Linked DNA regions of Mus musculus: region 2 is reported to be linked to region 1. Evidence: microRNA targets listed by miRTarBase, many of them from high-throughput screens and not tested one by one. Region 1 holds a microRNA gene; the other region holds the end of a gene's coding sequence.

Evidence for each region. The annotated mature microRNA mmu-miR-883b-5p reads UACUGAGAAUGGGUAGCAGUCA and lies in region 1 at 6,978-6,999, shown strand. An mRNA with a match to its seed (bases 2 to 7 or 8) in the 3' UTR can be bound and repressed. Matches are read on the target gene's strand: a 7mer-m8 pairs with bases 2 to 8, a 7mer-A1 pairs with bases 2 to 7 and ends in A, and an 8mer does both.
Region 2: miRTarBase lists Rbm8a as a target of mmu-miR-883b-5p. Seed matches in the 3' UTR shown: 7mer-A1 at 4,883-4,889.

What each region holds. Positions count from the first base shown.
Region 1 is chrX:66,781,300-66,796,934 of GRCm38, reverse strand. It overlaps Mir883b (microRNA 883b), which reads left to right and starts at 6,968; the gene lies at 6,968-7,045. Mir471 (microRNA 471) reads left to right here and starts at 4,274; the gene lies at 4,274-4,340. It overlaps Mir741 (microRNA 741), which reads left to right and starts at 60; the gene lies at 60-130.
Region 2 is chr3:96,627,400-96,643,034 of GRCm38, forward strand. It overlaps Rbm8a (RNA binding motif protein 8a), which reads left to right and starts at 2,529. Exons shown (of 6, transcript NM_001102407.1): 1 at 2,529-2,629; 2 at 2,903-2,962; 3 at 3,078-3,155; 4 at 3,467-3,603; 5 at 4,033-4,169; 6 at 4,290-6,392. The coding sequence starts at 2,563. The coding sequence ends at 4,335. Pex11b (peroxisomal biogenesis factor 11 beta) reads left to right here and starts at 8,031. Exons shown (of 4, transcript NM_011069.3): 1 at 8,031-8,344; 2 at 9,275-9,390; 3 at 9,732-9,933. The coding sequence starts at 8,289. It also overlaps the pseudogene 6330549D23Rik.

The DNA.
Region 1 (15,635 bases):
TCTAATTGAAGGTGACAGACTAGCTTTCTATCAGAAGTATATAAAATGTCTCATGTGCATTGATCTACGTAGATTGGTACCTATCATGTAAATCATGTAAGCATGAGAGATGCCATTCTATGTAGATTAAGGCTCATAACATTCTTCTTTTTTTGTGGCCTTGGAAGATCATTGCAGTGTTAAGTATAATGCTTCCCGATCTTTGTTAAGATCTTGTGCCTTCAGAAACTATATCCTCTAAGGAGGACTTAATTTAAACCTTCAGAACACATTTAGATATGTTAATACAAATATGGACATTGATAATTTTATTCTTAATCTGAAAAAATAAAATGAATATAGTCTTATATTTGTTTTATCAGACTTTCAGATAAGCAAGAGGGCATGGCATCCAGGCATAATAAGAAGATTCTTTATAAGCTTCTTGTTTGCTGCTTTATGCTGTGATGCTGATGGTGACTTGATTTAAATGAGAACAGTTTCATTCTACATGTACTGTAAGTTTCATCCTGTATGTCGCATATAATGATGTTTATGTTCATTTTAGATGCTCTTTAGTGAACTTTGAGGTTTGCTGCTACTCGAATTCTCACAATAGACATTAAGAATATTAGCATTTGTATTTTCTCTTTTGAAATTTTAAGTTTTTGAATTAAAATATAATTCTGACTCACTTTCCTTCCCACCCTCCACTCTCCCATATGGCCCCCTTTCTCTCTCTCTCTCTCTCTCTCTCTCTCTCTCTCTCTCTCTCTCTCTGTGTGTGTGTGTGTGTGTGTGTGTGTGTGTACACGTGTGCACATAAATATGTGAGTATGTATATAATATGGTAGACTACTTGGTATTAAATAACTAATTTGCTGGCTTATCCCTGTGAAAAGCTACTTTTTCCACTCAGCATTGCTTAAGTGTTTGCAGATTAGTTTTACATGCATGCATACATACATACATACATACATACATACATACATACATACATACATACTGCATACATTTATTTATTTGTCTAGGGGTTATGGCTCAAGAAACCAAATGAGTTTGATCACCTCTAGGTAGTAATGGTATAATGACTAACTATTGCTCTCAGCTTGACTGATTTTTTGGAATCAGCTAATAGATGAGCCACAGGCAACAGGGTCAGATTATTTCAAATGAGAAGAGCCACCCTAAATAACAGACAGTGCCTCCAATAGCATCCTACCTAGATAAAAGTGATAGAATAGAAAAAGTTGTTGGTTTTATTTTTTTTTTTTTTACTTTGTGAGATTATTATATAATTATATCCTGTTCTTCCCTACAAACTTTCCATATTCCTTCTTGCTCTTTCCAAATTTACAGTGTCCTTTTTCATTAATTGTTACAAACTATTCCCTCTGCTATATGTAACCCCTCTGGCTAAAGAGGTTATAGTTTGGTTATCATTATTCACTGGCTAATATCCACGTAGAAGTAAATGCTTACCATATGTTTCTATCTGGGTCTTTTTAAAACTCTCATAGGATGATTATTTTTCTAGCTCCATCTATTTCCCAGCAAGTCTCATGATGTCATTCTTAACAGGTAATACGTCATTGTTTAAATGTACCACAGGCTTTTTATTCAGTTTGAGGGACACTTAAAAAATTGGATTGTTTTCAATTTTTGGCTATTATGAATAGATCGGCAATGAGCAGGGTTAAGCATTTGTCCTTGTGGTAGGATGAAGATCCTTTAGGTATATGCCCAAAAGAAGTATAGCTGGATCTTAAGATATATCAGTTCCCAACTTTCTGAGGAACCACCATATTTTCTATTTTTGATGTACAAGTTTGCAGTCCCATTAGCAATGGAGGAGTGTTTCCTTTGCCCCACATCTTCTCTATCACGTTGTCACATGTTGATATTTAGCCATTTTGACAGGTGTAAAATGGAATATCAAAGTAGTTTTTATTTGAATTTTCCTGATGGCTAAAGATTTTGCACATTTATTTATTTTGGTGTTTCTCATTCATTTGAGTTTCTGTTATTGTGAATTTTCTGTTTAGACCTATACCCTATTTTTAATTGGATTTTTATATGTAATTTTAAATTCCTTATATATCTTGCATATTAGTCTTCTGTCAGATAATGCAGTTTGTAAAAATCTTTTCTTATTCTCTAGGCTGCCACTGGGGTGGAGAGATGACTCAGAGGTTAAGAATTTGGCATCACTTCAGAGTTATAAAAAATACATGGATTTTCAGGTATTGTGCTGTGATAGATGATAGATGATGTGATAGATGTCACAGAAATTGCTAAGTAATGAAAAATGTATACATTTAAGATACTGAAAATAAAAATTTAAATGTACAAGTTTATTTTTTCTCCTTGTTTCTGTGTCTCTGAGTTAATGTAAGCCTCCCCCACTGCAGTTTGTAGATACAACTTTTTGGTGATGTCATTGTAGGTACATTACCCCTAAACTCAGGTGCTTTGGTCCTAAGAGTGCTTAGTCAGATACTTTATGAGAGATGCTCTATCACTCAGTATTACCCTAGCATGAATACTTTTCCATTAGAGGAATAAAAAGAAATAGAGGACATGAGAGAACTTGTTCATACAAGAAAATATGGTACAAATCTTATTCTCTTCTTTGGCAATCCTTATTCCCTTTAAGAAAAGCGTCAGCTCTCATTTTTGAGAAATGCAAAGAGAAATTAAACAGTTTGGATAGCATGATCTTCATAACTCTTAATAGTTTAGGTATTGTCGTAAATTGGCAATTTGATAAAATTTGAGAGGGATAATGAAGCTTTTGCTAAGTTATTGCTAAAATTGGTTAAATAACATTTTGGAGTTAGTCTCATGCTGAATACTGGGACTACATTTGACTAGGTTCTCTCTGGGTTATTAAAATTCATCATGTTTCTCACTTGATTTATAGTCTTAAATAGCAGTGACTTTTCACTTCAAGTAACATTGAGGTCACTTTTATATTAGTAGGTGAGTTAGGGTTACTTGATATATTTTGTATTGTCAATTTACCTTGCAAATGTACATAGATGAAGAAGCACAAAAGAATGAGCTCCTCCTACATGGGATCTAAATAAAACCATGTAGAAGAAGGGAAAAGGGAAAAGGTAGTATAATTTCCTTTCCTGAGAATATTAAAGAAATTTACTAGTATTATATCATGTTACTATGGGAGAATTCATACATGTCTTCATACATGTCTTTGGGGATTATGGAAATTATCTGAGAAATGCTTTCTTTACATAAAAAGTTGTGGAATGAGTTGGAAATGACTAACATGCTTAAAGTATATTCTTTGAAAACAAATTTTTAAATAAAAACTTAAAGAATAAAAACAGAAAGAACTTTCAGTGACTCCATAATCTGAAAAAGAAAATGGCAACAAGCTTACTCAAAGCGGTTTGTTGACACAAAATGAATGTGAGAGGGATCCCTTTGAACATGTATGGTAAAAGGTATTGTCTACTATATTCACTAAGACTTGTGAATATGTTAGGTCATGTTGCAAGTCCCCTATACTTGAACATATATGTTGAAAGCTCAAGATGAAGTTAAGTTTCTTATGGGCTGTATTTTATTCACCTTGGTGTTTATCAAGTGAATGACTATGAAAACCACCATGGTGGTTAAAGTAAAGTTCATAATGTTCTTCATATTGGTTAGAATATGTAACAGCAGTTATCCTTCACATGCCTTTCTGAGACATGTTGGAAATAAGTGCCTCCAGAAAGTGTATTCCCAGGTAGGCCTTAATTTTATAATGGTCACATCGTAAGTGCAACACTTCATTCTACAAGTCCTATATTCTGCATTATTCAGAAGTCACTCTTCCATGTCTAGCATGCTCCAAATACAATTTTGCAGGCGTACCATGTAGACTTTGTGGTGTACATGTACACAAACCAACAGTATGTTACTTTATGATAGAATGCTCTGTAGTCACTGTCATAGCAGACATATTTAAGATGTGTTCATGACATAATCTTTATTTTTAATTTGTGGGTTACAGGCAAAAAGTATCAAGAACCTAAAGGAGTGTACTAAAATAAGGAAGAAAAATTAGGAATCAGCTTAATATCTTAGAAATGAGAACAATTCTCATAAACAGAAGGTAAGATAGGAAGGACATGATCTTATAAGAATGTGTACTATTTTACAATAAATATTATATTCTAAGATTGAAGAATAAATTAGACAATGATTCAGGTAACATATTATGAGTGGTAGAGTAAATGATAGAGGCCTCATTTGCAATACGTTTATATGAAGAATATTGTGAGCAGTGCTTTACGTAGTATAGTGCTTTTCACATTAAACAAAAAGTGAAAGGTGCCATACTATGTATAGGAAGGCTTACCATGTTCCTCAATTGTTGTTGCTTTATACCATCAACATGGTTTGAGTGTATACCTTTACAATGGTTTTCTGGTTCTAGTTTTCTTCATCTAGGTTTTGTTTCCTGAGGATAATTTCATTTCTCCAATATCCCCTTGAGGAACAACATATGGATTTACAAACATAAAAATCTAGAAGACACATTTCACTTTAATGTCAACAAATAACATTAATATGATGTTATTGGTTTTGTTTTTGGCAGTCATCCTAGTAAATAGGAGGTTACTATAAATATGTAGGAAATACAATAGAAAGGGCAATTGAGTTTTATTTCATAGGAGCTATCAGTACATATGATTATAGAGTTCAAGATTATAAAGATTGTGAGGTCATAAAATATCTGGGGTAGATTTTGTTGATTTTTCACTTTCTTCTGACAGATGTGACTAGTTTGTTCTTCTGTAGCAGGCTCTAAACCTGAGTAAGACTTCCAATTGTTCCTTTACCTTGGCAGCTTGCATTGAAACTTCTGATATCATGAAAGCCAGTCCTCAGAGAAAAAGTCTAGGCCAATATCATCTTTATTCTTCCAAATCCTGTTTCTGAAATGTGAGGTGCCTTCTAGAATAGGGTTTTACTTTGAACTTTGGGAGGAAACCAGTTGTCTATTGGTTTGTTGGTCTCTTGGATCTGACCTGTTAATAAAGTCAAGCTAAGAAAAACTAAATTGGCACAAGGACAATTAAACAAGGCAAAAGACATGACCATGGTTATAATTCCAGAAAGGAAAACATGATCAAGCTTTTGTTCTTGGTATTGACAAGCATTCATCTGAAGATTGTACAGGTAAAAAAACCTGCTTTCAGAAAGATGAATGGTGTAGGGATATGAGTTTATTATTCTCTAGAACTTACAATTAAATCAAATCAAGGTATAAATATCTTGTTTTACAAATAATGATGGGATATCTGAAGGCAACGATTTTAATAATGAAGTTTCTGCAATTTAACATGAAGTTTCACATCAATGGCATTCCATCTATGTTGGATTCCTTCATGAGAAATAGATGTAAGTACTTCTTCTCTAGATGAAAAAAATGCTCACCATATTCCTCATGAACTTATTGTAGCATCTTGAAGGTAAAAATATAATTCTTGGATTTATATTTAACTGGGCAGTTGGATTATATTTAGTGTTTTCTCAGTTTAGCTCATCTTGCCTCAGCGACTATATGAAATTCAGTCGTGAAGATACTTGATGAATGATTCTTCAATGAGTTCATGTTTCCTCTGGGAACAGCCTATGATCTCAGGAACAAGAATCTGCACCTAGACGCCAGTTGCTAGGCATAAAGTTTCATGTGGCCTATTACTTCAAGAGACAAGAATGGTAGAATATGCCAGTGGTACAGTGTAAGCTACCTGGCATTTAGTTTCTCATGCCTCTAACCTCAGTATGGTTCTAACGAGTAAAAAACACCAAATGTCTGTCTTCATGTGATCCCTGAAACCCGAGGCAGGGATTACCTTCATGCACACGTACATAATTTAGACCATACTTACCACTTGGGAATGGGCACCTAACTGATCAGGGGACTTATCCTTAAAAAAATACTAGCTCTCCCTTAGCAGCCTGAACTAGATATGGGAATTATGGACCCTTCCTCAATCAGTCTTTTGCAAATCTTGTACGAGCAACCATTAACTGTTGAAAGTGTGTTGGTGAAACAGCCTTATCATGTACAAAAGACAGTAGTTTACACTTTGACAAGTTGTGATTCTTTATAAAATAGCCTTTTGTCTTATTTAAAAAACAAAAACAAAAAACTTTTGCTGGGCAGTGCATGCCTTTAATCCCAGCATTTGGGGGCTGGTTGGGGGGTGGGCAGAGGCAGGCATATTTCTGAGTTTGAGGCTAGCCTGGCCTACAGAGTGAGTTCCAGTATAGCCCATGCTACACAGAGAAACCCTATCGAGAGAGACAGAGACAAAGAGAAAACAACTTTTCATCAGAACTGTGAGTTGCACTAATCAGTGAGTATAAGCTAAGCACATATAATGTAAAAAACCAAAATGAAATCAATCTCATCTCTCTGGTTTTGACAAAAATTCAGTGGAACAAGTGTTAAAGGAAATGCTTAGAGGAAAAAATATGGAGTGGTTGAATCTTAGGGTCTTCGGAATATCTTTGTAACTTACAGGTATTGTAATACATTGTGCTTGTAAGATTTTAAGTGACTATAACAAATACCTATCTCCTTCAAGTCAAGAAGACTATATTCCTCACTTGATCTGTCTTTGGGATAGTGATGATTTCATTTCTGTAGGTAATGTTGAAATCGTTTTTTCCATATGTAAACCTTTTGTATCTAATGACCTAGGTAGTCTTTGTGTTTTCAGTTATTCATATCATGAGAATATAAAGTATAAACTATATTATATCAATGTAATGTAATAAAAAGTCATGTGAATGGTTTATAAATCACTTGCTTCAGAAAGCTAAATGGAGGTAAAGAAGATTATAATTGCTCTTATCTTAATTGTGAAGAAAGAAATTTATTATATATGTATACTTGATAGTCCAAAAAATTGTAATATCTTTTAATTCTTTCAGACTTAATTTCCTCACTCAATATTCTGTGTGCAATGCATTACTGAGAATGGGTAGCAGTCACTTTGTACTATGAGTAACTGCAACATCTCTCAGTATTGTAAGGTTCAACAAATACAAGGGTGGTAGCCACATGGACATAGTCTTCACACAGTGGATGAGTTTCTTGATTTCAAGATACATTGCAGTCACTTTAAAACAGACATCCCCATGATAGATTTGTTGTTGCTTTCATAATTTTAATTCTAGTGTTATATGAATATGAAACATCTTAAGATATATTAATATGGAAAATAATAACATAATAATGAGTTTGAAGTCTTGGAAGTAGGGAATGCTATGAGAAGAATGTGTAGTGAAGAACAGTAATTAGTTACTCTCTGAGTCTCAGGAAATAAGATTAGAATGTGTTTTTAATTTAATTTATGTTATAGTGATAAAGTATCCTGACAAAAAAGAAATTTAGCAGGGAAAGGATTTATCTCAGCTCATGATTCTAGGTTCTAGTTAACCTTTCTGGAGAATTCAAGGCAAGAACTCAAGGACTTTGTCATATCACATCCACAGTCAAGAACAAAGAATAAATACATCCTTGCTTGCTTAATAGTCAGATAGTTTCTATCCCTTTTTGAAAAATTCCTTTATTTACTTTTATTTTATGAATATTTATGTTCCTGCATATATTTATATGTATCACGGGCATGATGGTGGCTTCAGAAGCTAGAAGAAATGTTGAATCTCTTAAATCTTAAGTTGTAGGCAGTAGCAAACTACCTAGTATAGATGCTAGGTACCAAAACTGTGTCTAATACATGAACAGGAAGTTTTCTAACTTTCTCTCCTATCTAACCTATCTCTTTCCAGCCCTAATCCAGAGCTGAGCCTACGAAATAGTGCCATCTGTGTTCAGGGTAGATCTTCCTCATGCAATTAACAACTGAAATAATCACCTACAGACTTTGCTATAGTCCAACCTAATGTAGAAATCATCTCACTGAGGCTCTTTTTAATATATATATATATATATATATATATATATATATATATATATATATATATATATATATATAATGTATGGGAGTATACTGTAGTTTTACAGATGGTTGTAAACCTTCATATCGTTGTTGAGAATTGAATTTTAGGACCTCTGCTCACTCTAGTCAACTCCACTTGCTCAATCCCTGCTTGCTGTGGCCCAAAGATTTATTATTATACATAAGTACACTCTAGCTGTCTTCTGACACACCAGAAGAAGGTGTCAGATCTCCTTACAGGTGGTTGTGAGCCACCATGTGGTTGCTGGGATTTGAACTCAGGATCTACGGAAGAGCAGTCAGTGTTCTTACCTGCTGAGCCATCTCACCAGCCCATTGAGGCTCTTTCTTACATTGTATAATTCTAGGTTGTGTCAAGTTGACAGTTAAAACCTACCAGAATAGACTGCAACTCCTCTTTATTCTTGATATTGAAATAATATGGATGATGTTATGGAAGCTGGGGGCTTAGAAAAAATCAGTATACATCCTCTGGAAACGAGTCTACTCAGAATGGTATTTACTGCATGAACTATAAGTGAAAGATAACATTCAAGGTAGAGTAAAGCTCTTCATAGTCTTCATTTGCTGTTGTCTTGGGTAGTCAGGGTTGAATGGGCAGACATGCAAGGTTGAAGGACGTTGTCACTCTCATTTCTGAGGATAGAAGAGTAAATAACTATGAGGTTCAGTTATCCTCTTTTCTGTGAGAAAGTCATACCTGTGAAGTTGTAAAATATTGCAATAGTTGGTGGTTTTCTGAAAGGAATCCTATCTTCCTCAACATGAAGTAGAAGTTCCCTGTTAAATAAGCATCAGGTACTTTATAATATGTGAATTTTTATTCTTTCTGCCTTTGCTATCACAGTATTCTGTTCAGAAAATCCTCTGCAATGAGTTCAACTATTCTTCACTTTTCTTCTATCAGATCATGTGTATATGAACTTAGGTTAAAGGTCCTTGAACTATTTTGAGTTGAGTTTTGTGGAAGTTAATGTGTGGGTCTATTTCTATTCTTCGACATCCAGCCATGCAGTTTGAGCAGCACCATTTTTGAAGATGCTGTCTTTTTTCCCCCAGTGTGTATTTCTAGATACTTTATCAAATATCAATTTTATATAGGTGTATGGGCATATGTCTGGGTCTTCAGTTCAATTCCATAGATCAATATGTCTGTTTTATATCAATATCATGAAACTTTTATTACTATAGATCTGTAGTACAATATGAGATCAAGGGGTGGTGATAGTTCTAGCACATTTTAGTTAGGAATGTTTTAATCATCCTGAGATTTTATGTGTACATGTGAAATTTTAAATTTTCTTTTAAATGTCTATGAAGAATTGTGTTTGAAATTTGATGGTGAGTGCATTGAATCTGTACATTGCTTTTGATTGTATGAGCATTCTCACATCATTAATACTACCAAGCCAAGGACATAAGAGAACTTTTCCTCTTCTGATTCTATTTCTTTCTTCAGTGTATTAATGTTTTTATTTCATGGATCTACTTGTTTTGTTACAGCTATTCCAAGGTATTTTTGAGGTTCATCTTGTTTCACTGATTTCTGTCTTAGTCTATAATTGGGGTAGAGAAGGGCTTTTATTTTTGTGTGTTAGTTTTTATACTGTTTTTTGGCTGAAAGTGTTTGTCAGCTAAAGGAGTTTCCCAGTTGAGTTTTTAGGGTCATTTATGTATACCACCATATCATTTGCAAATATACTTTGGCTTATTCCTTTCCTACTTATATACCCTTACTCTCTTTCAGTTGCCTTATTTCTCTAGCTAAGACTTTAAGTATTATATTGGAAAAATATGGAGACTTGTTCCTGATTTTGATAGAAATGCATTGAGTTTCTTTCTCCTTTATTTGGTGCTTAGTGTGGACTTGCTATAATTTGTCTTTATATTATATATTGTATTATATCTTTTACATCTCTAGTCTCCCATGAATAGATATTAAATTTTATCAAAGATTTTTTCTGGATCTCATGAGATGAAAATGGGATAATGAAGTCTCCTACTATCACTGTGTAGGGGTCAGTATGTGGTTTAAACTACAGTTGTATTTCCTTTATGAGCTTCAGCATTTTAATTACATGTTTACAATTGCAATATTCTCTTGGTGGATTCTTTCCTTTGATAACTATATAGTTTTCTTCCATATTTTTCTGATTAGTGTTGGGTTTAAGTTTATTTTGTCCAATATTAAAATAGCTATACAGGCTTGCTTCTTTTTCCACATTTTCTTAGAAAAATCTTTTTCCATATTTGTATCCTGAGTTGATATCTGTACTTGATGATAAGGTGTTAACTATAGTGCCTGTCTTAGGGCTTCTATTGCTGTGATGAAACACCATAACTGAAAAACAAGGTGCATATTGTTGTTCACAATCAATGGAAGTTATGACAGGAACTTAAGAACGAACTTCTGGAGGCAGAAGTTGATGCAGAGGCCATGAGGAATGCTTCTTTAAGGCTTGCTTACCATAGCTTGCCTAGACACCTTTCTTATAGAACATAGGACTATTGTACTGGGATAAGCACAACCCACAATGTGTTGAGCCCTCTTTCGTCTATCACTAATGAAATGCCTTACAGCTCAATATATTGGATGTGTTTTCTCAACTGGGGTTCTCTCCTTTCAGATAGCTCTAGTTTATGTCAAGTTACATAGGACTAGGCAGCACATTGTGTTTCTTATAGTGAAAGGATGGAACCTGTTGACAAGCCCAAACTAAGTCTGTATCTTCTCTTTGAGGAATTTAGACAACTGATGTTCAGTGATCACTGTTTGTTGTTCTTATTCTGTTTTTAAGGTATGTGTTTTCCCTCTTCTTTTGATTTGCTGGTCTTAGACAATTTATTTCTGGTGTATTTTTATATATGGTTAATTTCTGCAAGGTTCTTATTAACGCGTTCTCACGACCGGCCAGGAAAGACGCAACAAACCAGAATCTTCTGCGGCAAAGCTTTATTGCTTACATCTTCAGGAGCCAGAGTGCAAGAGAGCAAGCAAGCAAATGGCGAAACCCCATCCCTTTTTAAGGAGAATTATCCTCCACCTAGGATGTAGTACTTCCTGATTGGCTGCAGCCCATCGGCCCAGTTGTCATCACGGGAAAGGCAGAACACATGGTGGGAAAACTGCCCCTGCATGTGTGCAGACTATGTTTACCACTTAGAACACAGCTGTCAGTGCCATCTTATAATGGCAAATGTGAGGGCGGCTCCTCACAGATCCCCCTTTTCTTTTAATAAGAGCAATAGGCCACCCATATTAATGAGAGTGGAGATAGAGGTCAAATCCCCAGTGTGCAGGTAAAGGAGCCGTACACATAACCTCCTCCCAGGCTCATCACCCAGAGGGGTCCTGGTCTGGTCCCGTGTTGTTTTTCCTGGGGGAAGGACACTTGAACACTCAACCTTCTTGAAAGATGACATGTCTCCCTAGAATAGGCTCATATGTGCCGCAGAGCCTTTCTACTGCAGTGCTTAGCCATGCAACTCTCTCGGGCTGCTGAAGCACACTCACTCTATCCCGTGCAATGAGACTAGCCTCATGGGATATAAGAGCTGAGTGGCCAGCGACCTATTGCCTAAGCATAGATATATCAGGGGGAGCACCATGTTCTAGAGCTGCAAGCGCCTGGGCAATAACCACCTTGTCTCTCCTAGTTTGGGCCTTAAGCTTACAGACCAACCAAAGAAGCAACACTAATCCACAGCAAAGTGTATCTCCACATAATCCCACCCCCATCCATTCTTTAAAGAAGGAAAATGCTGAGGAGATCCAATTGGGTAATCCTTTGATCAGGGACAGGTCCAAGCGCTTGGAGTTGACCTGAATGATGGCAAGTCTCAATTCCCGAAGGGTCTGTTCAAATTCAGCCATCCAATTCTGTAACATATACTGAAAAAGACTTTTTGACAAATTAGCTGCCCTAGTAAATTTAACATACTGAATGGAAATAACACACAATCCCGGAAACTTTTGTTCACATCCCTGCTGAGTTATTTGTCATAATACATCTAGTTGTATCTGGACAAGATCTATGAGTTGATTAACCAGCATGAGACCTCTCTGTACTGGGCCAAATAAGTTCATTTGCTCATTAATGGCTCTGAGGTCATGGAGCAGTCTCCACTTTCCTGACTTTTTCTTAATTACAAAAATTGGAGTATTCCAAGGTGAGGTAGAGGGTTCAATATGGCCTAATTTTAATTGTTCCTCTACCAGTTGAATCACAGCTTCTAGTTTTTCAGAGGATAGGTGCCATTGAGGAACCCACACTGGGTCCCCTGTTTTCCATGGTATGGGTCGTGCTGCCCCAATGGCCGCTATGGAAAACCCAGACCCTGTCTGTCTTGGTTTCCATTAGGTAAGATAGGCTCTATCCTTCCCTGTTCTTGATGTCCTAACCCTTTTCCTTCTTTATAACCCATCTTTGCCATGATATTTTTTGCTTTAGTTGAATACCCTCCCGATGGGGCGTTTTCATTGGACAAAATAAGGCCCAAATGCTGCATAATATCCCTTCCCCAGAGGTTAACCGGGAGTGGGAGCACATAAGGTATGAATTTCCCTTGCTGCCCTTCAGAGGATTCCCATGTCAAGGCAACAGAGCTTATAGTGGGACATGATTGATATCCTAGGCCCTGTAATGAATGAAATGACTCTGTGGTGGGCCATGCTTTGGGCCACCAATGTATAGAGATTATACTTTTATCTGCTCCGGTATCAAGGATGCCTTTAAACTCTTTTCCGTTGATCTTAAGGCGGAGCTTAGGTCTATCATTCAAAGATACAACCAAATAGGCAGAATCATTTCTGGAGGAGCCCATTTTCTTTATCTCAGGTCCTGCAAATTTCTCCCTGGTATTATCAGGGAGGAGCAGCAGCTGAGCCATCCTATCTCCTTTGCTAATAGAAAAAACGCCTTTGGGGCTTGAGCACAGGACCTGTATTTCAGGGGAATGTTGACAATCCATAACTCCAGGGTGGACTACTAAGCCCTGCAAGGTGAGTGAACCCCGGCCGAGAATAAGGCCCATGGTTCCCGGGGGCAAGGATGGTATAGGCTCCACCGGCACCGGCTGAATACTCATTTGAGGCATTAGTAGGAAGTCGGAGGCGGCACGCAGGTCCACCCTTGTGGGTCTTCCTGGGTCGCCTCTCTGACTGCTTCCTGGGTCCTGACAAACCGGTTCCCATATCTTTGAGGGCCCTGGGACCGAGGGCCCAATGACCCGTTTTTTGGCACATAAGCTGATTGACTATCAGGTGGGGGAAGAATTCTGCCCTTTATATCCCTCACAGAGCGACACTGGTCAGCTCTATGATAACCCTTGCCACACTTAGAGCAAAGAGTGAGGGTTCCCCGCTTTTTATCTGGAGCTCTGCAATCTTTCTTAAGATGCCCAGGCTTTCTGCAGTTAAAACATGTCCTCCGATCATTTCTGCCCATGGAGCATTTTTGGGATTGAAGGATGGCAGCCGCTAAGCCTGCATTGCTGAGAGGTCTAAAGGTCCCTGGTTCGATCCCGGGTTTCAGCACCAATTCTTATTAACGCGTTCTCACGACCGGCCAGGAAAGACGCAACAAACCAGAATCTTCTGCGGCAAAGCTTTATTGCTTACATCTTCAGGAGCCAGAGTGCAAGAGAGCAAGCAAGCAAATGGCGAAACCCCATCCCTTTTTAAGGAGAATTATCCTCCACCTAGGATGTAGTACTTCCTGATTGGCTGCAGCCCATCGGCCCAGTTGTCATCACGGGAAAGGCAGAACACATGGTGGGAAAACTGCCCCTGCATGTGTGCAGACTATGTTTACCACTTAGAACACAGCTGTCAGTGCCATCTTATAATGGCAAATGTGAGGGCGGCTCCTCACACAAGGTGAAGTTTTGCTTCTAGCACAGTCTCTACAAAGATTGATTTATAGATAAATAATACTTAAATTTGGTCTTATCATGTTTTTTATTTATATCTCATGTTGCCTCCCTTACAGTCCCTCTTCCATTGCCCCTCATCCAGGCTCATCAAGTCTGCATAATTAGGATAATCCTCTCCTACAGAGGCAGGACAAGGCTGACCTCTGCTACATATGTGCCAGGGGTCTTTGTCCAACCGATGTATGCTCATTGGTTGGTGAAAAAGTCTCCAGTAGCTTCCAGTGGTCCAGGTTAGTAGACATATTTGGTTTTCCTATGGTGTTCCTGTTGCCTTCAGGCCCTTCAGTCCTTTCCCCAACTTGTCCATAAGTCGTCTGAAACCTCTGTTCAATGTTTGGTTGTGGGACTCTACATCTATTCACTTAGCTTCTGGTTGGAACTTCTCAAGGCATAACAGAGTTTGCAAGCATAACAGAGTATCATTAATAATGTCAGAGATTGGTGTTTTTTCATTTGATGGATCTCACTTTGGACGAGTTATTGGTTGGCCATTCCTTCAGTCTCTGATCTATCTTTGTCCCTGCATTTCTTTTAGACAGGACAAATTTTGAGATTCCATCTTACACAAATCAGCATAGCTAAGATAAAAAACTGATGCAACAGCAGATGCTGGCAAGGATGTGGAGAAGAAAGAAGAACATTCCTCCATTGCTGGTGGGATTGCAATCTTGAAGACCCATTCTGGAAATCAATCTGGTGTTTTTTCAAAAAAATTGTAAATAGTTCTACCTGAAGATTCAGCAATACTGCAACCCAGATATTCTTCACCTGAAGAATAGATAGAGAAAATGTATTTCATTTACACAGTGGAATACTACTCAGCTATTAAGAGGGAGGACATCCTGAGTTTTGCAGTCAAATGGATGGAACTAGAAAATATCCTGAGTGAGATAACCCAGACAGAAAAGAACATGCATGGTATGTACATACTTATACCCATGACATACGCCCACAGACCCTAAGAAGTTAAACAAGAAGGAAGGCCCAATTGAAGATGCTTGAATCACACTTAAAAAGGGTAACAGAACTGTCATGGGAGGCAGAGGGAGCAATGTGGGTATGTGAGGGGGATATGTTTGCAGGATCAGGTGTGGGAAGGGAAAAGAAAGAGGCCCATAGGCCCAGGAGAATGAATGGAAATCTCTATCTTGCAGGGGACTTACGGGTGGAGGTAATCTCTAAGCAGACCCTGAGACCTAGGATAGGGAAGGCTCCCAGGAGCCATTGTGTGTGACCTTAGCTGAGATGCCTAACAATGTGGACATGGAACCTGAAGAGGCCACCTCCTATAAACAGGCAGGACCTCCTGTGAAAGATAAGGACACGAACCCACCCATAAAACTTTTGACCTAAAATCCACATTTTTTAAATTATATTTTTATTAATCCTTTACAATTTCATATTCACTTTGGTCATAATTATAATTAAGTTTGATAAAAGAATATGTTTTGTTGTGATCATCATTTCTCTTTAAGTTAGGGTAGTGACAGGTTTTTATGTGAAATGTACATGCAAAATCAATTGGATTTTCAATATCATCAGCTTAAGTGTGAAATCAAACATTTACAGACACAGTTTAGTGGGGGTGTGTTTAATTGTGAAGATTGTGATAAAAGCTGTTGGATGAAATTGTTGTTGTTGAGATGAAGTACAAAGGATCAGTCTATGCTATCTCAAAGTACAGATTAATACATACTGAAGCCTTCATTT
Region 2 (15,635 bases), not on the chromosome of region 1:
TAACCACATGGTGGCTCACAACCATCCGTAATGAGATCTGACGCCCTCTTCTGGTGCGTCTGAAGACAGCTACAGTGTACTTAGATATAATGATAAATAAATCTTTAAAAAAAAAAAAAAGGTGTCAGAAGTTTGAATGGCTGGCTGAAGCAATTATCAAAAGATGGCCTACTGAGAAGGAGTTGAAGATACCTGATATCCCTTGGCTTAGTGTTGAGGAAGGGATTTTAAGGCTCAAGGAAATTGCAGTACTAGAGTGGATACATTGTGTAAAGCTTAATCCTCCACAATGGGAAGGCCCAGAAAACAGGCCCTTCAGGAATCCTGTAAGACCCAAACTGGTGAGAGGGGCACCAGCACATTTGAAGAGTTTTGTTCTTGTCCTTTTTCTCGTGCCAGACCTTAGGGGTGGAGATGCTGTTGCTCAATTAGATGAATTAAATGCAATGGGTTTAATTGGATCCCGAGGTAACAAGGGCCAGGTGGCAGCATTGAATTACCAGAGACAAGGCCACATACTTAAGTTCTTCTCCACTGAAACCTCTTGGGCCAGGTCTGCACAGTTCAAATAACAGCAACAAAGTCTTTCATAGTCCTACTAACATGGCTCATTAAGCCCCACTTAAAACATTCCATGGCTTTTCAAACCGAAAGTCCCCAAATCCACAATCTTCCAAAAACATGGTCAGGCTATTACCCCAGTTTCTGGTACCAACTTCTGTCTTAGTTAGAGTTTTACTGCTGTGAACAGACACCATGACCAAGACAACTCTTTAAAAGCAAAACAGGAGCTGAAGAGATGGCTCAGCTGTTAAGAGCACTAACTGCTCTTCCAGAGGTACTGAATTCAAATCCCAGCAACCACATCGTGGCTCACAACCATCTGTAATGACATCTGATGCCCTCTTCTGGTGTGTCTGAAGACAGCTACAGTGTACTTACATATAATAGATAAATAAATAAATCTTAAAAAAAAAAAAAAACCAGAATTCCCCCCCCCAAAAAAAAAAAAACAACAACAAAAAAAAACCAAACTGGGTTGGAGAGATGGCTCAGTGGTTAAGCGCACGGACTGCTCTTCTGGAGGTCCTGAGTTCAAATCCCAGCAACCACATAGTGGTTTACAACCATCTGTAATGGGATCTGATGCCCTCTTCTAATGTGTCTGAAGACAGCTACAGTGTACTCAAATAAATAAAAAATAAACAAACAAAAAAAACCACCTGAGCGGGGAAGTGGTGGCACATGCCTTTAATCCCAGCACTTGGGAGGCAGAGACAGGCGGATTTCTGAGATCGAGGACAGCCTCGAAATACAGAGTGAGTTCCAGGACACCCAGAGCTACACAGAGAAACCCTGTATTGAAAAGAAAAAAAACAAAAACAAAAACACCTGAGATGGTTCTTCTCAGTTGTCAGGCTTACTCTCTCTGGAATGAACTACAAATCCAGAAATGAGGGGCACACCTGTGATTTTCTGTTTGGTGGAGTGGGTAGATCCACTTCTAGTCCAGACTTTAGGTAGGAAAGAACACCTCTGAGCTACATCTAGAGGCAGGAAGACACAGGCTTTTCTTTAATCTTTTGTTTGTTTGTTTTGTTTTTGTTTTTGGAGACAGGGTTTCTCTGTGTAGCCCTGGCTGTCCTGGAACTCACTCTGTAGACCAGGCTGACCTCGAACTCAGAAAGCTGCCTGCCTCTGCCTCCCAAGTGCTGGGATTAAAGCGGGCAGGCACACCTTTAACCTGGGCCACACCTTTTGCTGAAGCCTATATAAAAACATGGATGAAGGAAACTTTTGCACTTTGCCTTGCTCATAAGTCCGTTTCTTCACCGGCACTGGAGCCTACTTTTTCTGGATTCTAGACCAGCTGAGACATCCAGCCTTGTGGAACTAAGCAAATACTAGATTCTTCGACTTTCTGGACACATCTAGTTATTCTCCAATTAGCTGGACTGCAGCCCGTAAGTCATTTCAATAAACCCATATATGTAGATATGTATCAAAGGATTTCTTGCTAGTTGAAAGTTTTATGAGAAAGTCACTGACTTCACTCACCCTTTAAATTTGCCCCAACGCGGCTGCGCTCCGGACCTTCAATCTACCTGATCAACTTGGCTGTAGAACTTCCGAAACCACTTTATTTTACTTTTTATGTTTTTGAGAAAGGGTCTCATTCTGTAGCCTTGGAGCCCGGCGTGGTAGCACAGGCTTTTAATCCCAGCAGCATGTGGAAGGGGAATATAGTTGGATATCTGTAACTTCGAGCCCAGCTAGGGCTATATAGAGAGACCCTGCCTCAAAAGAAAAGAAAACAAAACACAATCACAAACCATGTAGCCTACGGCCTCATACTCGCAGAGCTCCATCGGGGTCCCAGAGTGCTGGACGTTTCTAGCGCTTCATAGTGGGGCCGCCTACATTGGCGAATTTTCACCGCGCCGAGGGCGGGACTTGGAGGCAACCTTTAATTGGTCAGCCTAACTCGTGACGTTTTTCTTCTGCGACAGCTTCCCGAGGTGCTTAGCTTCTAGAGACTCAGAAAGCGCCGAGAGAAGCAAGATGGCGGACGTGCTGGATCTTCACGAGGCGGGGGGCGAAGATTTCGCCATGGATGAGGATGGGGACGGTGAGGAGAGTGGAGGCGACTGCGGGAAGAGGGGAAGGTGCGAGAGGGGAATGCAGTAGAAATTTTCCTGGGACGTCACCCCACGAACTGGGTCTGAAAAGATAGACTCCTCCCCCTTGGGAAAGGAATTAGGGGCGGAACTGGGAAGGGACTGAAGCTGGAGTCTGTGTCGAAGCTTCCAGATAGTCTAGGAAACGCGACAGGTTTTTTTTGTTTTTTTTTTCAAATGACTCTTATTTTTGTTGCTTCTTATTTTCTCACCTGGAACTCTAGAAAGCATCCACAAACTAAAAGAAAAAGCAAAGAAACGGAAGGGCCGCGGCTTTGGCTCCGGTGAGTGTGGGGAATAGGGTAGAGTGGTCTAAGAGGCAGAAGCCCGCGAATTTGGGAGTGTGAGGGGGACACATTTGGAGGACAGTTTTCGGTGATCTGGTATGAATTCTTTTAGAAGAGGGGTCCCGAGCGCGGATGCGGGAGGATTACGACAGTGTGGAGCAGGACGGCGATGAACCTGGACCACAGCGCTGTAAGTAAATAGGACCTATGGGGAGTCTGTGTGCACTGGCACTCAAATGCAAAGTAAAGAGTTGTTTAACCAGTCTCAGAAAATTGCTTATTGTAGGTTCTTTTCAGAATTTTTCTTTTTTAGTTTGTTTGGTTTTGGGTTTTTTTGTTGTTGTTGTTTTGGATACAGGGTTTCTCTGTTAAGCCCTGGCTGTCCTGAAACTCTTTTTGTAGACCAGGTTGGCCTCAAACTCACAAATCTGCCTGCCTCTGCCTCCTGAATACTGGGCTTTTTAGCTTACATGTTCATACAACACTTTCCCTACCCAACAGCTGTTGAAGGTTGGATTCTCTTTGTCACTGGAGTCCACGAAGAAGCCACTGAAGAAGATATCCATGACAAATTCGCTGAATATGGGGAAATAAAAAATATTCACCTTAATTTGGACAGGCGCACGGGATACTTGAAGGTAGATTTTCTTGCTTCCCTCACTTACAACTCTTAGATACATTGATTATGTTGTTTTTGTGAGTTGATCAAGCACAGGTAGGAAGTGAAATGACATTGGAAATTGATTTTGTTACCCACATGAAAGAGACAGAAACAGAATGAGCATGTTTGTGTATATAATGGGGATATGTGGTGTATAGCTGCGAAATTTTTCTTGTAACTATGCATTTCTGGTTTAAGGAAAAGAGTACTTGGTTGGTGAAGTAAAATTCTGATACTTTTTGTTGTTTGTTTGTTTGTCTTGAGACAGGGTTTCTCTGTATAACAGAGCCCTAGCTGTCCTGGGCTCACTTTGTAGACTAGGCTGGACTCTGCCTCTCTAATGCTGGAATTAAAAGTGTGTGTGTGACGCCTGGCTAAGCTTTGATACTTTTATATGCTCCCCTAGGGGTATACTCTAGTTGAATATGAAACATACAAAGAGGCTCAGGCTGCCATGGAAGGACTAAATGGTCAAGATTTGATGGGGCAGCCAATCAGTGTGGACTGGTGTTTTGTTCGTGGACCACCAAAGGGCAAGAGGAGGTAAGATGAAGGGATGGGGGTTGTACATTTATTTATCTTAGTAAAGGGAACATGAGCAAGATAAATAAGGATTCAGTATTAGATCTCTGATATTCCCCTTCTGTTTTTTCATTTTCTTAGAGGAGGCCGAAGACGAAGCAGGAGTCCAGACCGGAGACGCCGTTGATAAATCCTCTGTCGACTGGGTGGTCTCTCTACAAGTCCATTTGGTTATGCTGCCTTGGATAAACAGGGCTAGGGCGGACCTTGTGTTTATATTTAATTTCTTACCCTATCTACTTGGCATTGCTTTTGAGTTTTAGAAAAAAATAAATGTTCCATTTTGTTTTCTATGTTTATTACTTTACTGTTCTGGAAACTGAACAACTACAGTGGGGCATTGTGAATGATTGTGAAGATCCTTCTGTCTGGCGTGGCATTCTAAGTTTCTAGAAAGGCTCATGGAGACTGTTCAGCATTTCTTTGTCTTAGAAGATAAGGGTAGGGATAATGAGATTTTTCTTGTGGAATTAAGGAATGTATTTTGCATAACTCTTGTGAGCAGATGTTATATTAGTGTCTCTTGCTTCTCTGTCAGAGCCTGTGCAGCTGGCCTTGAACTTCAGGGGCTTTGTGATGCTTAGCCTACTCTATGTTGAATATGGTGCTGAACTGTGAAGTTTATTAGTTCTTACAATGTAAAAGAAACCCAGCTTGATGGGCTGGAGAGATGGCTCAGTAGTTAAGGGCACTGACTGTCCTTCCAGAGGTCCTGAGTTCAATTCCCAGCACCCACATGGTGGCTCACCATGGGATCCCATGCCCTCTGAAGATAGCTACAACATACTCATATAAATAATTTTTTTTTTTAAGAAAAAAAACCCAGCTTGGGTACTATGTAACAATATGCACACCTTTAATCCCAGCACTTGGGAAGCAGGTGGATCTTTTGGTTTAAGGCCAACCTGGTCTACAGGAGAGTTTTAGGATAGCCAGGGCTGCACAGAGAGATCCTGTCTCAAGAAAAAAAGACATTGCTATCCCTTTATCATAGGGTTTTGGTTGTTTTTTTTTTTGGGGGGGGGTTTTGTTTTTTTTTTTAATTTTTCTGAGACAGGGTTTCTCTGTGTAGCCCTGACTGTCTCCCCTGTGCCTCCCAGGTGCTAGGATTAAAGGCGTGCACCACCACTGCCCGGCTTTTATCATAGTTTTTAGTTGAAATTATTTTTTGGTATGTCTGTAGCAGCTGGTTTGTTGTTTGTGTAGGTCCCTATGTGACCCACACTGGCCTCAGACTGATGTTCCTGTCTCTCTCTCCCCAGTGCATAATGGCAAATATTAAACTTAACGTTTTTTCAGATGCTATTGGCCCTTCTCTTCCTTTTGATAAATTGCTTGGGGTTTGAATTGAATTGGTTAAGAATATATCTTAGTTGAGATTTGCAGGGTTTAGGATGCCTTGGTGGTTTCTGAGAAGGTAGATTAAATAAGTATTGGTTTTGTGGAAGATACGCCTGGTTCTCAGATTTCTAGCTGTTGTAAGGTATTTGGAAGAGTGAGTTGAGTAAGCATGAGGTCCTGAGGGCTGGTAAACAGTATCAGCCAGAGAACCAGTAGGTGAGCTGCCTGGATAGGAAGGGTATGGTCACGTAGTTGGGAAGATGCTCTTCTGGCTTTACTCTGAGAAATAAGAATAGCTCATAGGGATTAGAGATGTGGCTCAGTTGGTAGAATGACTGCCTAGTATGCACAGCCCCAGGCTTTATAACAGGACCAAATGGGTACGACACTCCTGCCTTTGATCCTGGCACTTACTGGGGAGGTGAAGGCTAAAGAATCATAAGTTGAAGTCATCCCCAGCTGCATAGCCAGGTGGAGGATTAGCCTATGAGATCTTGTCCTGGGTGAAAGGGGATGGAAAGGGGGGAAACCTCATCAATTTACTGTGTGACCTTCTAACTCCCCTTCTTTATACAGAACTTAACCATGTACAGTAGAAACCCTCTTTAACATACTATGACTTTAAAACTTGAGCTTAAAGAAGTAAGCAATTTCTTGGGGCTGGTGAGATGGCTTAGCGGGTGGGTAAGAACCACCTCTTCCAGAGGTCCTAAGTCCAAATCCAGCAACTACATGGTAGCTCACAACCACCTGGAATGAGATCTGATGCCCTCTTCTGGTGTGTCTAACGTCTGCTACAGTGTACTTACATATAATAATAAATAAATCTTTAAAAAAAGGCAATTTCTTACTATTCCTAATGTCATTCTTTATACCATAAAATTTTCAAATTTTGGCTGGTACACGCCTTTAATCCCAGCACTCAGAGGAGGCAGAGGCAGGCAGATTTCTGAGTTCAAGGCCAGCTTGGTCTACAAAGTGAGTTCCAGGACAGCCGGGGCTATACAGAGAAACCCTGTCTCGAAAAAAAACAAAAAAAGTAAAGTGAGGATGTCAGATATATTGGAGTTAGAAACAGTTGTGAGCTGGAAGAGCAGACTGTACCCTTAACCACTGAGCCATCTCTCCAGACTCCTCCCTCACCCCCACCCCACTTTCTTTCTCCAGGCTGGTCTGGAACTCACAAAGAAAGATCTACCTGCCTCTTCCTCCCAAGGCTGGTATCAAAGGCATGCACCACCACTACACAGTGGTTTTGGTTTAAATATCTAATGAGGTTTTTGCCTGCATGTATGTTTATATACTATCTGTGTTCCTGGTGCCTGAGAAGATTAGAACAGGGCTCCAGAGCGTCTGGAACAGAAGTTACAGATGCTGTGAGCTGCTATGTGGATGGGGGATTCAATCTGTCTTCTGGAAAAGCAGCCAGTAGAAAAGCAGCAGAGCCAACTCCAGCCCTAGATTTCTTTTTATAGTGGTTGTAGAGATCTTGTTTGTGATATTGTAGGTTTTTTGTTGTTTTGGTTTTTTTCCTCCTCACAACTATAGTCAGGCTATTGCTGCTACAGGCAAGTTTTTTTTGTTTGTTTGTTTTTGTTTTGTTTTTCAAGACAGGGTTTCTCTGTGCAGTTCTGGCTGTCCTGGAACTCACTCTGTAGACCAGGCTGGTCTCAAATTCAGAAATTTGCCTGCCTCTGCCTCCCAAGTGTTGGGATTAAAGGCGGGTGCCACCATGCCCGGCTTCGCTTTTTTTTTTTTTTTTTTTTTTAAATAATGTGTAAAGGTGTAAAAGTGTTTTCCTTGTGTACCATGTTCATGCCTGGTACCTGCTGAGGTTTGAGAAGGGTGTTGGATCCCCTGGAGTTTACCCCCCTACTGCCTCTCCCCATCCACTTCATTTCTCTTCAGAAGAAGGCAGGTCTCCGTTAGGTATCAACAGCATGGTATATTAAGTTGCAGTAAGACTAGGCACCTTCTTTGATTAAGTCTTTCATGAGGCAACACAGCAGGAGGAAAGGGTCCCGCAGAATCAGAGACAGCCCCTGTTCCCGCTGTTAGAAGTCCCACAAGAAGACCAAACTACACAACTATAGCATGTGCGAAGCAGTCTCATGCAGGCTCCCTGTAGCAGTTCAGTCTGAGCCCCTATGGGCCCAGTTTACTTGACTCTGTGCATTTTCTTGTACAGTCCTTCCCCTTGTCTTATGCAAAATTCTCCAAGGTCTGCCTAACTTTTGGCTGTGGGTCTGTGCCTTTGTTTCTACCAGTTGCTGTGTGAAGCCTCTCTGATGACAATTGGGCTAGGCACCAATCTTTGAGTATAGCAGACCATCGTTGTCAAGCGGCATCTCATTACATCCGCTTTCCCTAGGACAAATAGTCTAGGACAGGCTTCTGCTGTTCTGGGCGTTTGGGGCGGGTGGCGTGTGCGCCTTGGCGGCAACCTACAGCGCCTCCTGGCTCCCGCAGGCCCCACCCCTTGCTGCTGAGAATTTAAAGCAGAATGTGCTCCTAGGGGCGTGCTTAAAAGCCGGAGACCATCCCAGAGAAGGGTGAGCTGCCGGAAATGCACCCACGATCTCGCTTCGCGTCCTGAAATTCCACTTCAAGGCCGGCTCCGGCTGCTTGGCTTTCCTGCCGCCGTTTGTCCCTCGCGAAGCCCCGTTGCTCGCCCAGGAGGCGTGACTTGGGGCTGGAAGCAGGCGGGCCGCTGCGCCGTGGGCCCGGGCTGCCGCTGTCATGGACGCCTGGGTCCGCTTCAGTGCTCAGAGCCAAGCCCGGGAGCGGCTGTGTAGGTGCGGCCGACGGAGGAGCGCGGGCGGGAGGGCAGAGCAGGGTCCCGCGAGGCGACGGGCGCGCTACGGGGTCCCTAAGGGTCAGCTGTGGCTACGGGGGCCCGCGCGGCCCCGGAGGCGTACTCCGCAGCCGGTTGTGAGATGATTCTTCCCTGCTCAAGGGAAAGATGGGGAAACTGAGGCATGAGTGGGCCAGCGGGGAGGCCACCTAGGTTTACTGTGTCCACAGAGAGCAACAGTTTCCTCGCTGCTGTGGTGGCACGAGGGGCGATCCTCTCGGTTCTGCGTCCTCTCACCAGTTGTGACCTAGGAGCCTCGCTATCTCGGCTCTTCTTCGGTTTCCATCAGTCCAAGAACCTTAATCTATCTCTTAGTTTACCTACCCGGAGAACTAATCTGCCCTTCAACTAGATCTTCCTCTGTCGTGTTTCATGTATAAAATCGCAGTGTGGACGTCTGCGATGAACCCCGGGCTGCTTACTGGCCCTAAACTTTAGGCCTCATCATTTTCAAAACTCTTAGTCTCTTAACTCCAAAGAGTGCTCTCCACCATCTTCTAGGCTTTATTTTCCTCGCATGTCTTTCCCTTCCCCTGGCTTTGAGGAAAAAAATGGAAAGATATTGGTGTGAAACCGAGGAAGTGTCCCTGGTGGGGTTTTTGTTTACCAATTATTATTTGTCTGAGTGTTTGGTCTGCAAGAATGTATGTGTACCACATGTGTGTCTAGTGCCTGCAAAGGACAGAAGAGAGTGGTGGATCCCTGGAACTAGAGTTACAGACAGTTATGAGCCACCGTGTGGGTGCTGGGAGTGGAACCCGGGTCCCCTGCAAGAGCAAGTGCTCTTAACCGCCTCACCAGCCCACGGAGGATATGGTTGGCAGAGGGGTTAGGGAGGCCTGTCCCTTACTCTACGTGTCCTCCCCTCCAGGGCCGCCCAGTATGCCTGTTCCCTTCTCGGCCATGCTTTGCAGAGACATGGGGCTAGTCCCGAGTTACAGAAACAGATTCGACAACTGGAGGGTCATCTGAGCCTCGGACGAAAGTGTAAGTAAAGCAGACCTTCCTCTTATCATCCTCAGCTGGTAGCCCATGGCCTCTCCTCCCGTTCTGCCAGTTCGCCATCATTTGCCACTCTCCTGCATGCCTCCAGTTGAGGTCAGAGAACAGGTATAAGGAAGTTAGCACTGATTGGAAAAACACGGCACGAGAACACTAAACTGGCACAAAAATGAATTACGATTGGAAGTTAAGAAAAAGAACAAATTATTTTTACTCTTTCTTCCTGTATGTTATTATTGCTTGCTCAACTTTTATTTTTCTCTTCCCCACCCCCACCCCTGCCTCTGGACTTCAAACCCTTGCTTTCCCTTGTTAATCTCTACAAGTGCTACGCCTGGGGAACTCAACAGATGCCCTGGAGTCAGCCAAAAGGGCTGTGCACCTGTCAGATGTCGTTCTGAGATTCTGCATCACTGTCAGTCACCTCAACCGAGCCTTGTACTTTGCCTGTGACAATGTCCTATGGGCTGGAAAGTCTGGGCTAGCTCCCCGAGTGGACCAGGAAAAGTGGGCACAGCGTTCATTCAGGTTGGTTTTCCTTTTATCCTACAAGACTATGTGTAGCCTTCATTCTGCAAAGCTTGCAAAGCTTGCATCGCTTGTAATAGTAAACATTTTGCTTTACACATATGGGTATTTTGCCTGCATGCCTGTGTACCATTTGTGTGCCTGGTGCTGGCAGAGGCCAAAAGAGGGCATCAGAATTGTAGTTCTAGATGGTTGTGAGCTGTCATGTGGGCTCTGGGAATCAAAACCCAGGTCCCAGGGAAGAGCAGCCAGTGCTTTTAACCACTAAACCATCACTCTAGACCCATATATTTACATTAATAAAAGTTACTATTGTAGGTGCTGCACATCTGTAGGTCAGACAACAGCTTTCAGTTGCTGGTTTTCTCCTACTGTGAGTTCCAGGTATCAAACTCAGGTTGAGAATAAAACTCAAGCCATTAGGTTTGCGTGGCAAGAGCTTCCACCTCCTGGCCCAGCTCCACTTCCATCCTCCTGGTCCATAACCTGCTATATATGAGACAGAGGGGTCTCAGGATTTTTTTTTTTTTTTTGAGTGTACAATGACTTTTCACGCCCATTGTTCCCACATCTGCTGATTCAAGCAACCACAGGCTGGAAATGTTGAGGGGAAAGTGCATCTGAATTAAACATGAAAATTGTTTGTGTCGTTATTCCTTAAACATTGCACATATATTGTATGAAATATTATAAACAATCGAGGTGGATACAGAGAATTGTGTGGAGTATGTATAGATGCAATACCACTTTATCTAAGGGACTTGAGCAGCTGTGGGTTTGGGTAGAATTGGATGGGCGAGCAGGGGGAAAGATCCTGAAGTTGATCCTCCATGGATGAACTGACTGTAAATTATTTGTTTACTTTTTTTGTTGTTTTTTTAATTTTTCAAGACAGGGTTTCTCTGAGGGATGTGGCATTACCACTCTGTATGGAGGACACTTTGAAAGGGTTGGTTCTCTCCTTCCACCACTTAGATCTCAAGATTGAACTCAGGTCATCACATTTGGTGACAATGCCTTTTTCCTGCTGAGTCATCTTGTGTGGTGTTTTTGTTGTTTGTTGTTTTGTTTTGTTTTTAGGTAGGTCCCACTATGTAGCCCAGTCTTGCCTGAAACTTAGGATTCTCCTGCTTTAGGTGCCCGGGTTCTAGGACAGCATTACAGGCATGTGATACCATGTCTAGCTTCTTTTTCTTTTGCGATAATGGGGTCGGGGTCCCATAGGACTGAGATAACACAGTTCTTCTATAAGCATGAAGACCTGAGTTTGATTTCCCAGAACCCATGTTAAGAAAACAAAACCAAGAACCAGGCATACTGACACATTCTTGCAATTCCAGCAGTGTGGAGTTAAACTGGACAATTCCTAAGGCTCTCTGGCCGGCCAGCCTGGGAAAATGAGCAAGTTCCAGGCCAAGTGAGAAAATCCTGTCTCAAAAACAAAGTGGATAGCACCTGAGGAGAGACCCCCAGGTTGAACTCTGGGCTTCACATATGTGTATACACACATATACGTATATACCCATGCATGTTGTACCTCCACACATGAAAGAGATGAAATCTTGGTTTGTTGCTCAGGCTGTTACAGAATTCCTAGAAGCATCCTCCGACCTTGGCCACCCTAGCAGCTGGGACTCCATAAGCACGTGCCACTCTCACTGTGCTTGGATTTTCCAGAAACGTTTCTCGGTTTCTTACTATGGGCCAGGAGGTTAAGCAAAAGCCAGACAAATGTGGTGCCTGATCCTTGAAACATAAAGTTTAAGATGACCCAGTGAGTAAAAACCAGCAAACCTGATGTCTTAGTTAGAGTTTATTGCTGTGAAGAGGTCACGGCCAAGACAGTTCTCATAAAGGCAAACATGTAATTGGGGCTTGCTTACAGTTTCTGAGGCTCAGTCCATTATCATGGCAGGAAGCATGGCAGCCTGTAGTCAGACATGGTGCTGGAAGAGCTGAGAGACATCTTGATGCAAAGGCAGACGCAGGAGACCCCCTCTTCTGTACTTGGCAGAACTTGAGCACTAGGAGCCCAGCACCCACAAGGCAGCTCAGAACCATCTGTAACTCTCAGTTCTAAAGGACTCTGATGCCCTCTTCTGGCTTCTGCAGGCACTGCATGTACATGGTGCACAAGACATGGTACCTGAGGCTAAACTATATACATAAAACAAAGAAATCTTAAATAAAAAACCTAAAGCAGATAATCACTCACAACAAACAGCAAACAGACCAGTGGGAAACCCTGTCTCCAGAAATAAGGTAGGCAGTACCAGGAATTGGGTTTGAGCTTGTCCCTTTGGTCTCCATCTCAGGCACATGCATGTGTACCTGCCTATACTTTCATCTACACACAGGAACATACACACACGCACATGCACACATGCCACGTGTACACACATGTGCACACACACGGCTTTAGTGATTATGAAAAGAATGATACATGGTTACATTAAAGGGCTAAGGGTGTAGCTGAGGTATCTAGGGTTGATTCTTATTAGATAAGACTAAGGGTGAGCCAGGCAGTGGTGGCGCATGCCTTTAATCCCAGCACTTGGGAGGCAGAGGCAGGCGGATTTCTGAGTTCAAGGCCAGCCTGGACTACAGAGTGAGTTCCAGGACAGCCAGGGCTACACAGAGAAACCCTGTCTCGGAAAACTAAAAAAGGAGGGGAAGTGGATACTTTTAAGAGCAGATGTAATGCTGTGATTTACATTCATGCTCCTAGCTTCTTTATCAACAGCAGCAGTCAGGGTAGGGCGAGAATGGCCACAGAGAGACTCTGTAGCTAGAGTAGATTAAAAACAAAAACAGGCTGCAGAGGTGTCTAAGTCATGAAAAGTGGTTGTTGCAGATAAGCACAAGGATCCACAGCATCCACATAAAGTCAGGTGCACTGCTCATGCCCGAGAGCCTGGTACTGCGCTGCCCGGAGGTGGAGAAAGGAGGATGCCAGGGTCTTATCCGACAAGTGGGGCTCCAGGTTCAGTGAAAGACCTTGCCTCAGGACATGGCAGAGCACAGTAGAGGAGAGCATCTGATGTCTACCTCTGACCTCTGTATATGCATACCTTGTAACACACACACACAAATGCACACACACAGGCTTTAAGACTTAGCTAATGTATACCTGCAATCCCAACACTAAAAAGATTTAGACAGGAAAAAAAAATTCATGGCCAGCCTGAACCACATAGTGAAATACATCCTGTCTCAAACCAAAATAACAAAAATGTAAAAAGTTTTGAGCTGGACCAAGTGTGGTGATGCAGGCCTTTAATTTCTACACTAGGAAGCAAAGGCAGAGGGAATCTCTGTGAATTTGAGGTATGCCTACTCTATATAGTGAGTTCCAGGTCAGCCAGAGCTACAGAGTAAGACTCTGTTCCAAAAAGTATATTTATTTTCTGCTTAAAAATTTATAATCGGGGCTGGAGAAATGGCTCAGTGAGTAAGAGCACTGACTACTCTTCCAGAGTTCCTGAGTTCAAATCCCAGCAACCACATGGTGGCTCACAACCATTTGTAACAGGGATCCGATGCCCTCTGCTGGTGTGTCTGAAGACAGTGACAGTGTACCCATATACATGAAAGAAATATAAATCTTAAATTTAAAAAAATTTTTAAAAATTTATAATCTAGTATCTCTAGCAGTTACTGGATATATCTGGACCTTTGCAGAGTTCTTTGATTTTTTTTTTTCTAAGAGATTGGATCTAAAGTCTGTATAAGTATGTTTTCTTCTCTCTTTCTTGAGGCAGGGTCTCATGTGGCTCAGGTTGTCCTTGAAGTCCTGATCCTAAATGTTGACATCATAGCTATGCACCACCACTTCAGCCTGTAACTAACTCTAATACTAACTCCCCTGTCTCTCTCTGTCTCCTCTCTGTCTCTGTCAGTCTGTCTCTCTCTCTCTTTCCCCCTCTGTCCTCTGTCTTTTGGCTTTTTGAGACTGGGTTTCTCTGTGTAGCTTAAGCTGTCCTGGAAATCCCTCTGTAGACCAGGCTGGCCTTGAACTCAGAGATTGTATGTGTCTCTTGTACAACTAAATGTGTGCTTTCAAAATAGTTTGCATTACTAGGGTCAAGTTAAGTGTATTTTTTTCCCTCAGTGTGTGTGTGTGTGTGTGTGTGTGTGTGTGTTTGCACAAGTGTGTGCAAATGTCTGGGCACATGTATGCATCTAGAGGCCCACGGTTGGCTTTGGAATTTTCCCTCTGTCTTTCTCCACTGTATTCATCGACACAGGGTCTTTCAGTTGAGCCCAGAGCTCACCTACACAATGCTAGTCTGACTAGCCTCCTTGTTCTGGGAGTCCCTGTCTTCATGTCTACCAGCATTGACATAGACTCTGGGATCTGAGCTTAGGGCCTCAGTCTTGCATGGCAAGCACATGACCACTGCCATCTCTCCAGTGCAGAGTGTGGTGCATCAGACAGATTGTCTCAAAAACGGAATTTGGAGTTGATCTTGGCAGATTTCATGACTCATAAATTTTAAACCAGGACCTTAAGGTGCACATAAGCACATTGTAGACTGGCAGGAAAGTTGCTTTTTCTTTATTATTTCAGAGATATAATTATATGAATTTAAGCATACAGTGTGGTGTTTTGTATATGTATATGGTGAGGTGATCACCAGAGTCAGGAGTGCAGCATCCTTCTAATGGGGTGGGAGAGATGACACAGCAATTAGGAATACTAGCTCTTCTTCCAGAGGGGACCGGCTCAACCCCAGTGTTTCTCCAGTTCCAGCTGGTCTCATGCCCTCTTCTGGCCTTCTTGGGTGGCAGGCATGCACATAGTGCACAGACATACATGCAGGCAAAAAACCCATATACATAGTATAAATATTTTAAAAATGCTCATAACCTCATGGTGACATCTTTTTAATGATAAGAACATGTGCTGAGATCAATCGATGACCCATTTAGCAACTTTCAAGTCCATGATTATATTAACTGTTATTATGTTAACTGATATATTAACTGTAGTCACCACATTAGATATATAGAACGAACTGAATGTTTGTCCCATTAGCTAAGGTCTTCCTGTTTCTTGTCCCCTCCAATCCTGGCAACCACAGTTTTATTCCATACTTTGGTAAGTTAGGCTGTTTAGATTTAACTCATAAGTGAGATCGTGAGTCTTTCTGTATCAGATGTATTGAACCTATTATGTTGTCAAGAAAGGACAGTTCTTTTCTGGTGTTGCTGATATTGAAACCAGGACTTGTGCATGGAAGGCATGTACTCTTACCAGTGAGCGACATTCCCACTTCTAGGGGTTCCCACTTTTAAGAGTTATTTATTTATTATGTATACAATGTTCTGGTTGCATACCAGAAGAGTGCACCAAATCTCATTATAGATGGTTGTAAACTACCATGTGGTTGCTAGAAACTGAACTCAGGACCTCAGGAAGAGAAGTGTTCTTAACCACTGAGCCATCTCTCCAGTCCAAGATATATGTTTTTTTAAACTTTTTTAAAAAGTGATTTATCGGGCTGGGCAAGATGGCTCAGTGGATGAGAGCACTGATTGCTTTTCTGAAGGTCCTGCGTTCAAATCCCAACGACCACATAGTGGCTCACAACCACCTGTAATGAGATCTGATGCCCTCTACTGGTGTGTCTGAAGACAGCTACATTGTACTTATGTATAATAAATAAATAAATAAATAAATAAATAAATAAATAAATAAA